Linked DNA regions of Schizosaccharomyces pombe. The protein of the gene in region 2 interacts with the protein of the main gene of each other region in a pairwise test. Each region holds a gene or a part of one and is shown on either strand. Other genes may lie near its edges. The genes, in order: uba3 and but1.

What was found.
Region 1: the proteins of but1 (region 2) and uba3 interact in a two-hybrid assay, tested with the Schizosaccharomyces pombe proteins (one study listed by BioGRID).

The regions. Positions count from the first base shown.
Region 1 is NC_003424.3:459,711-464,210, reverse strand, and holds uba3 (NEDD8-activating enzyme uba3), read right to left. Parts: upstream 2,496-4,500; 5' UTR 2,273-2,495; coding exon 938-2,272; 3' UTR 612-937; downstream 1-611. UniProt on the Schizosaccharomyces pombe protein: Catalytic subunit of the dimeric uba3-ula1 E1 enzyme.
Region 2 is NC_003424.3:4,532,537-4,536,370, forward strand, and holds but1 (thioredoxin family protein But1), read right to left. Parts: upstream 1,852-3,834; 5' UTR 1,713-1,851; coding exon 981-1,712; 3' UTR 790-980; downstream 1-789. Other genes in the region: dynactin microtubule-binding subunit, p150-Glued Ssm4, read right to left, coding at 2,138-3,834. UniProt on the Schizosaccharomyces pombe protein: Acts as a negative regulator of the NEDD8 pathway. Has a role in meiosis.

The DNA.
Region 1 (4,500 bases), 4.1 Mb from region 2:
GAGATTGGGATTCCATTCATGGAAAGTCGATGTCAACCGGCTCTTAGTAGTAAGAAAAGCGTCAATAATGTATGTCCACGGTCAAATATCCGTTGAGAGCAAAATCATGTTTTTCTACTGTATACCTACGTAAACGAATAAAATAATTACAAAAATGAAAATTTTAATTTATTTATCGATTTTTTTTTTTTTTGGGAAAAAGACTTATTGCTTTGTTTCGAACGATTTTTAATTTCTATTTATTTGAAAATGTAATAACTTGTTTTATTTAGGCGGATTTAATAGCTGCTGAGCAAATACTAATTCTGTTGATGTTATTGCTAAATGATATCGCTTGTTTTATTCCGATGAAAATTTTTGAAAATTCGGTCGTTAAAAGTCATGTTTTTGCAACATGAATCAAAATAATTGTTTATGGAAAAGTAATGTCGCAAATGCCTAAACAAAGGGCAGTGCATGTTTTTATCACTCAATGACAATGCTCGTAGCAATAAAATTAATAGCATAAAAAAAGGCAAATAAAATTAACTTAAAGCATTTGATTTACTTTCTATTTTGCAATATACTTTGCACATTGCATGCTTATATATGCTAAATACCTAACTGTATGCATACGTTTCGTGTTTGTTGTCTGTTGTAGATTTGTAATTTAGAGTTGAATAACTTTGATTTGGTTTAATTGTTTCTTTTTTTAAAATTAAATAAGATCTTTTCAACTTATATATTTTTTTTGAGATGTCGTTAAACTGAAGACATTGAAACAAAGTTGAAATGACATAACTATAAATAAGCAAGGAATTATAGTAAGGAGCGTGAAGCAGATTCTCTATCTCTTTAGTGATATCTCTTTTCAATTTATAAGTATATTGAAATGCAGCGAAACTGCTATTCTACACAAAAATATCCACAGTCTATTAGCGATTGATAAACATCAAATCTAGCATTCTCTCAACTGAACAGACAAACTTGTAGAAAGATTTTTATCAGTAATTACAAGGTTCACATCAACCGACGTAATACTTAATATAGGTTGAGATAAATTTTTAGATGTCGCAACTTGAAGAGCTGGAGGTGAAGCCAAGTACAGAGGGGTTCCTGCAGCTGTTGAAACCGAAGGATTTTGTAGATTATAAGATTTAGAATAATGATTTAAAATATCCTTTAAAGTAACGGTAGATGAGGCTGAAATATCATAGACTTCAGACAATACGCCGCAAACAGGACAATCTGATCTCTTTTCCAAATTAAATGTATATGTATACGCTCCATCTTCACCGACATACATCATGTAATTATCCAAAAACGGATTGCTTTCCGTCAAAATTTTTAATGCTTCGTTACAACAGCTCGCGGCAATTATGGCATTTGTCGACGCAACCGCTGGTATGATACGCTTTACGATTCCTTGCACGAAAAAACGATTGATTGAGGAAGAGGGTATTTGAAATTTATTGGCACGTTCGATAGAACGTTTTACGAGCCAGTCAATATGTCGGATATTATCTGGTTCAAAATTGGAATTTTTTCCATCCAGCGGTTCAAAAACTTCTTGCTTAGAAAAACTATCAACTGAAGCATTAAGAAAAACTCGAGGCCATTCGAGTAAATATGCCCATTCGACGCAATGCTCCGGCAATCGAGGAGTATTCGCCAATGTACATATGGGATACGAAATCTTAGGCGTAAGCATGTCTAATGAACATTCATAGCAACTTGTTATCGTTGGAATGATTACTCGGGCTTGACCCTTAAGGCCCTCTGAGCCGCCATCGACCAACGGTATAAGATCTCCTGTCTTAGCAATGGCCACGAGAGTTGAATTGATCCACCGTCGAGCTTCTACTGAATCAAGGCCACATATAATAAGTTTAAACTCCTTATAGAATTCAATTGTTTTGTCTTGAATTTTCCCATAAAAAGGTGTTACTACCGTAGAAGGGATTCGTTTCATAATCATTGATGCGGCAACGTTGGCTTTCGGCTCATCAATGTTGCTTTCATTAAATAGAAATTGTCGATTCAAATTTGTAATGTCAATAGTATCCATGTCGATTACGCTTAAATCTCGAAATCCAGATAATGCTAAATCCTTTAAAATCTCGCATCCTAGACCACCAGCACCAATAATTAAGATTTTAGAAGAAAAGGCAGACTTAAGAGTTTCTTCAGGGTTTTCTGGAGCATCCAAGTTGAAAGGCCCTGGTTTTTTGAGACTTTGGATCCATCCAGAATGCCTGTGACTACCAGCTTTACATACGTCTGAGGAGGGCATCTCCTACAAAAAAATAATCGTTTTTTGAAGTATTTCTTAAAATTTCTGAGTCAAGAATTTGTATTCTCTATTAATGTCAACGAAATGCGTTGGAGGTTGGCTTTGTTCCCAATATTCGTTACATGTAAACAGAAAAGGAATTTGTGTATGAAAATACTCCAATGCTGTCAGGAAATATGGCTACTCATTTAATAAGAGGATAATGAAATGGAGTATGAAAGTTGGAAGATACTTTTTAACATGTAATAATGTGATATAGGTGTAAGTAACAGTCCTACCGACACACGCAGAACAGAAGAGTAACTGATTTCACTTCGTAATGACAATACTAGGTTACCAAAGCAGAATTAGTTGAATAAACGTCTTTTTTCATTTTATTTGAAATTGGCTTTTGTATTGGCATAAATTGACTAAGAATAAAAAGCTGATAGAAAAAATGGATATACTAACACCCCAACGCAAAAGCTCCATCCCACAAATGAGTTTGCATAGATTAATACTTGCTCTACAAATGCGTTGGATAATCTGATATTATTAATAAACTATTTGCGCATAGTTTTTGAAATTATTCAGGGCGAACTGGGTTGATTAATTTACGCAAACGTATACATTCCAAGAACGCATTTGAGCAAATGCAACGAATACGTAGCAAAAGAGACGTAAGTTATATTGGAGGAGTCTCGTTCTCAACTCATCTTCAGTTTACCTATATACTGGTGTTGTTTACAGTATTGCGTCTATATTGTAAAACGACAATACTCATCATTTTCTAGTATGGTTAAGTAATAGTCGAGAACAAAAGCACACGAGAACAGAGGAATGTCCGTCACATCAAGAAATCAAGTATTAATGAAAATGTTTCATCCAAGCAACCGATGGTTAAAATAGCATGAATAAACAAAAATCACCTTTTGCTTGAATAATTTTGTACATTTCTTTTTTATATAATTGACACTTAAACGTGTAGTTTAAATATTTCTATTTACATTTCTGCTGCATACAATATAGCTCGAAAATGTTGGTTTACATGTAAGTGCGAAACTATGACACATTTGAATAGAAAGCGAAGAAAAAAACCTTAAACCTAGAAAACTTGCAGGTAGAAAATGATTGCTCACATACGTATGTGATTACATATACTACAAGCATAGAATATTAAATTCTAAATTCCTTTTTTTTTTTACTTACACCATGCTCTCTCATATCATTATTACCTACTAAGTATATGAGGCTGTGTAAAGCCAGCTGTCATTTTCGTTGACATGATGTGCAATTTGGTTTTTCTTTATTGGTGAAATTTATGAAATCCGAGATTGACCTTTACAACACTTTAGCGCGTTCAATAACTGGCTGGAAATGCTTTATTCTGCGTGCGTACAAGATAGGGCAGCGAAATTTTTTTGGTGAAAAGTCCGGTAAAGACACTCGCTGTTGCTTAACGATGTCGTTTAACATGTTCCAATGTGTAAATATTACACTCCCGACTAAGTCGATGGTGGCTTTTTGTGTGACATGAAACCGAGTTAGCGAATGATTGTCACATAAGTGAAAGTCCGTGTTTTATGAAATTATTATCTCAATTTGAATTATATCACTAACACTTGTACTTCACTATGTCCTTAACAACCAGCAAGAATTGCATGAGTTCGTTATTGTGCGAAAGAAGGATGATTTCGTTTTTCTCTCTTTTGCTAGTGACTAACTATGTTTATCCTTTCCTAAATGAATCCTTTTAACGTTATCATAATTTTGCTTCGGTTCTTATTTTACCTGGGTGTGGGATCTGCCTGTTTTACAATAGCAAAGTGACATGTATGCGTCGCAGTTTCAATATTTGTTTACATCTGAAATTGCGAGACGCAAATTCACGAGATTGGACAGTGTTAAGGGAGAATAGGTGAAAAATGCTGGTAATATCTAATTCTGGCTTTGCATTTGCCAGCGCAATATCGCCAATGTAAACAGAACCTCAAGGCTTTTTAATTGGAGATGAGCATTTACTATTAAAAGTCCATGCACCATCACTTGCATAATTTTCTTTCGCCCACTACCTTCTAAGTCATTAGGATTTTTTCTTTTCATTGTTTTAATTGCTTTATTAAACAACAAAGAAGGTTTTCTACTGGGGGTTTGGATCATTCTTTTAAAACTTCCGGTGTTGTGTGTATCTTTCACAAATCTACCCAACTCAACATCGCACCATTCTCTCATTTTTCTTTCTCCATCTG
Region 2 (3,834 bases):
AGCATTGACGTCAGAGCTATTTTATCCTTTACATTGATTTATCTACTAAGCATGGTTATTCTATTAAGCAATTCCTGATATAGTTTGATTTACTGACACTTTTGCAACTAAGATCTCAATTCACTAGCATGAAATTGTTTGAACGATTTCGATAAAAATATTATAAACCAACATCTAGAAGACTAATAGTTTCAATATTTTTATGCTTCAAATGTCCAAAATTAATTTTGGTAGGTTTACACAAGAATAAACCAACTGTAATTATATCATATAATTATATTTCTTAAATATATATAATTATAAAGATTAGTTTACAACGATCTCCTTTAGTATAGGGGTAGTACACAAGCCTGTCACGCTTGCAGCCCGGGTTCGAATCCCGGAGGGAGAGAATATTTGATTATTTTTAATTTTTGCATTTTTTTTATTACTCAAATTTTGATTACTTTTGTTTGAACAAAATAATACTATAGAAGCCTGCACTGTCATTTTTATTTGAATAGAGGAATTTAAACTAAAATCTATCAGCTTGGCTTTGTTCTGAAAAAGTAAATGCTTCAAAAAGAATATGCCAAATTATTTATTGACTGATTGAAATTGATATCGGTGATGTTTATAATTTGATAATCAGAGTTGACTTTTTTATTTATTTAATTTATTGGTTCATTGATTTTTTTTGTTAAAGATATCATAGTTTAATAAATTATTCCTTACACTTTTTTTTTTTTTTTTTTTGAAAAATTTAATAAATACCCATCCGTACCTTATCGTAAATTTTTGACAGCATAATTTATGGTACATTGTAATTTATTTTGTGAAATATTAAATATATATATATGTATTTATAGAAAGTATTTTCTATTCCATTGAACCCATGTTTTGTGGTTTTATGTGTGACAATATCATCAACTTTTGCTGAAACGTAAAAAAATTTTTGTTTGTCATTTTTTTTTTGAACGAGTGATCATCATAGAAGGCTTTTAAAGCAACCTTCCATTTTCAATTGCCAAAAATCGAACAGTTTCTTGAACTGCTGTTATTAAAGTAGATACACAAGTGGTAGTACGAATGGGAAGGATGTCGCGTCGACGCCCTATGGAATCTATAATTACAATTGCATCCAAAGCTAATTTTGCTCCTCCAAGAGGATGCAGCATTCCCATCTCTCTACAAATTTCATTGTTAGAATCCGAAATAACTGGTAATGAAAATTGTAGAGCACGAGGCAGATGGGCTTTCCATTGACATATATTTTCAACCGTATCAGTAGTGATACCAATCACATCTGTGTTGTAGGATTGCAGACATGGATAAAAGTGACTAATGACAGATATGTGAAGTGGGACGTTGTCAACATAACCATAATCACCGCTGACATTACCAAAGAAACAGAGAACAAATGAAGAGAATAGTATAGGTAATTTATGAATTTCATTTATTCCACCGATACCATTTACAACGTAAACGGGTTTGGAAAGATTAATGAAACATGGTTCAAATACTACTTCCATATCTTCTTCCCTAATGACACGTGCATGGTTCATTCCGTTCCTAAACGAACTCTTTATATGGGGATGCATACCACGCGTTTCTTCATCTTTCGTAGAGCTTCTTCTTTTTTTTGTAGATTTAACTCTTAAAGTACAATTTTTCTCGTGAACAGCATCACGAGTCGAAATGGGAAACTGGAAAAGGTTTTGGTCGATTTCCATTTTCTAACCCTTTCTCTGCAAGAAGGTGAAGAAACGCTTGATACGCTTTAATAGAAAAAAGGTAACAAAAAAAAATAATATCGCTACCGTGCAATGTGAAACAAGCAGTTTCCCACTCTTAAAGTGGTTGGTTTAGGGTAAGTAAACTTGTTTATTTACATGATTCTCACGTCGACAATTAATCTTCAAAGTCGATCTAATTGGCCAAAAGTACGTTAGTTTAATACAAACATGAACCAATCAAATACTCAACCCCATATTTCGTTAATGCATAACAGGTCACAAAAGAGGTTACAAGTCGATCTTAAACTTAAAGCAACACCATACAGTACATTAATGATAAATTCGTTAAAATATGGCAGTTAAGATTAGAAGCTAATTTTCGGCGGCTATTAATAAATTGAATTATATATCTCATTAAAAGATTAGCATTTTTTGGAAAGAATGTCTGTTAACTGACAATAATTAAATAGCTGTTGATTGTGATGAAAACTGGGTCGCTCGATATCTTTTTTCCAATTCAAGGCCAGCTGCTTTTCTACTGAAACGGGTTTAATATCTGCAACTAATTTTCTTATCTCCTTGCAGGCAAAGGTCAATGGGCTTGGAATTGAGTTTTCAGTATTAGAATCCCGTAAACTGTGTTTGAGCCAGTCTATATTTTCACTAGTATTGTCACCTTGTGGATATTTATCGGCCAGTTTCATCCTTGCGGTCTTTAGCTGTTCTCTTAAATTACAAAGATTTTTCTCATACTGTGTCTTTAATGTTTCAAATTCTTTCAATGTTCTAGAAGTGATTTCAGAGTTAACTTCATTCTCGTATGATTCAATTTGTTCTTTTAAACGTTGGTTCATTTCTGTAAGGTCGTCTTTCATACTACTTTCCTCCTCCACTTGTTTTGATAGTTTCAATTTTGCACTGTTTAACTCGTCTATTACAATATTTGCTTTCTCAAGTTTTGCATTTAATTGCAATAATTCCTCTTGAGAGTCTGATAAGCATAGTTTCAAATGTTTAACTTCTGTCAAAGCAGGTTGAGAAGATATTAGTAACTGAGATAGCCTTTGAGTTTCCTCTTGCACCTCATTTAACTTTTCCGATTGTCTTGCTTCTATTTCAGTGTTTAGCTGATTCAAAGTTTCCAAGTCTTGAATTTCTTCTGTTAGTTTTAATACTTTATGAGACAACAAAGCATTTTCCTCCAACAGTTGCCTTCTTGTCTTCACACCATCCACTGAAGAGTTGTTGGACTTTAAGTTTAATAATTCTTGATAAACTGTGCTATTCCAATGTACAAAATTTTCATTTGTTAATGAAAATTGTAAATCCAAACTTCCCGGTACAATATTTAAGTATCTATTCACGTTAGATATTGTCAATTTCTCAGAAAACGGGTTTTTAGGAATTTTTACAAGCTCAGTTATGTCGACCTGAACCTGTTTTAATTGCAAAACCTTAGAAACCTCTGAGACCCCAAGGAGACTAGATGGTGTAACTTGTGTAGTCCAGTTGTCCTGGCTTTTAGGAGTTTTGGAATTCAAACTTCGATCAGAGTACTTATAATTAGGAATCTTTCGAATTTGCAACTTTCGCTTTCTTAGATACTTTATTTCTTTCTGCATAGCCAAGAATTTTTTGAGAAACTTTTCACGCCTAAAATTCCGAGGTTTTTCAATACTGTTTTTACTGCGAAGGAATGTCAACTGAGGTTCAACTTTCTCTAATTCCTTATTTAATTTATCAATTTTTTCTTTTAAGGCGGTATTTTCACACATCAATTCATCCAAACGACCCTTCCTTAATTCTGACTTTAAATTCTCTTTTAAATAACTTCCCTTTGAATGAGGAGTAAATTTTTTTTCACATTCCTGCAAAACGTTGTCAACTTGCCATACAAATTCCTCTTCCATAAAACTACTATCGTCAAGCCCAGACAATTTGCTCGTATCTGAGTTTAACAAAGTAGTGTCAAAACTTGATAATTCTTCTGTTGAAAAATTTAGCTCATCTAGATTTTCAGTTGTAGATGAAGTATAAAACGTAGCTGTCTTTGTGGGAGTAGACGAATCAATAGGTGTAATGCACAATGGGCGTGCCAATGATCTTTCAAATTTTGAGG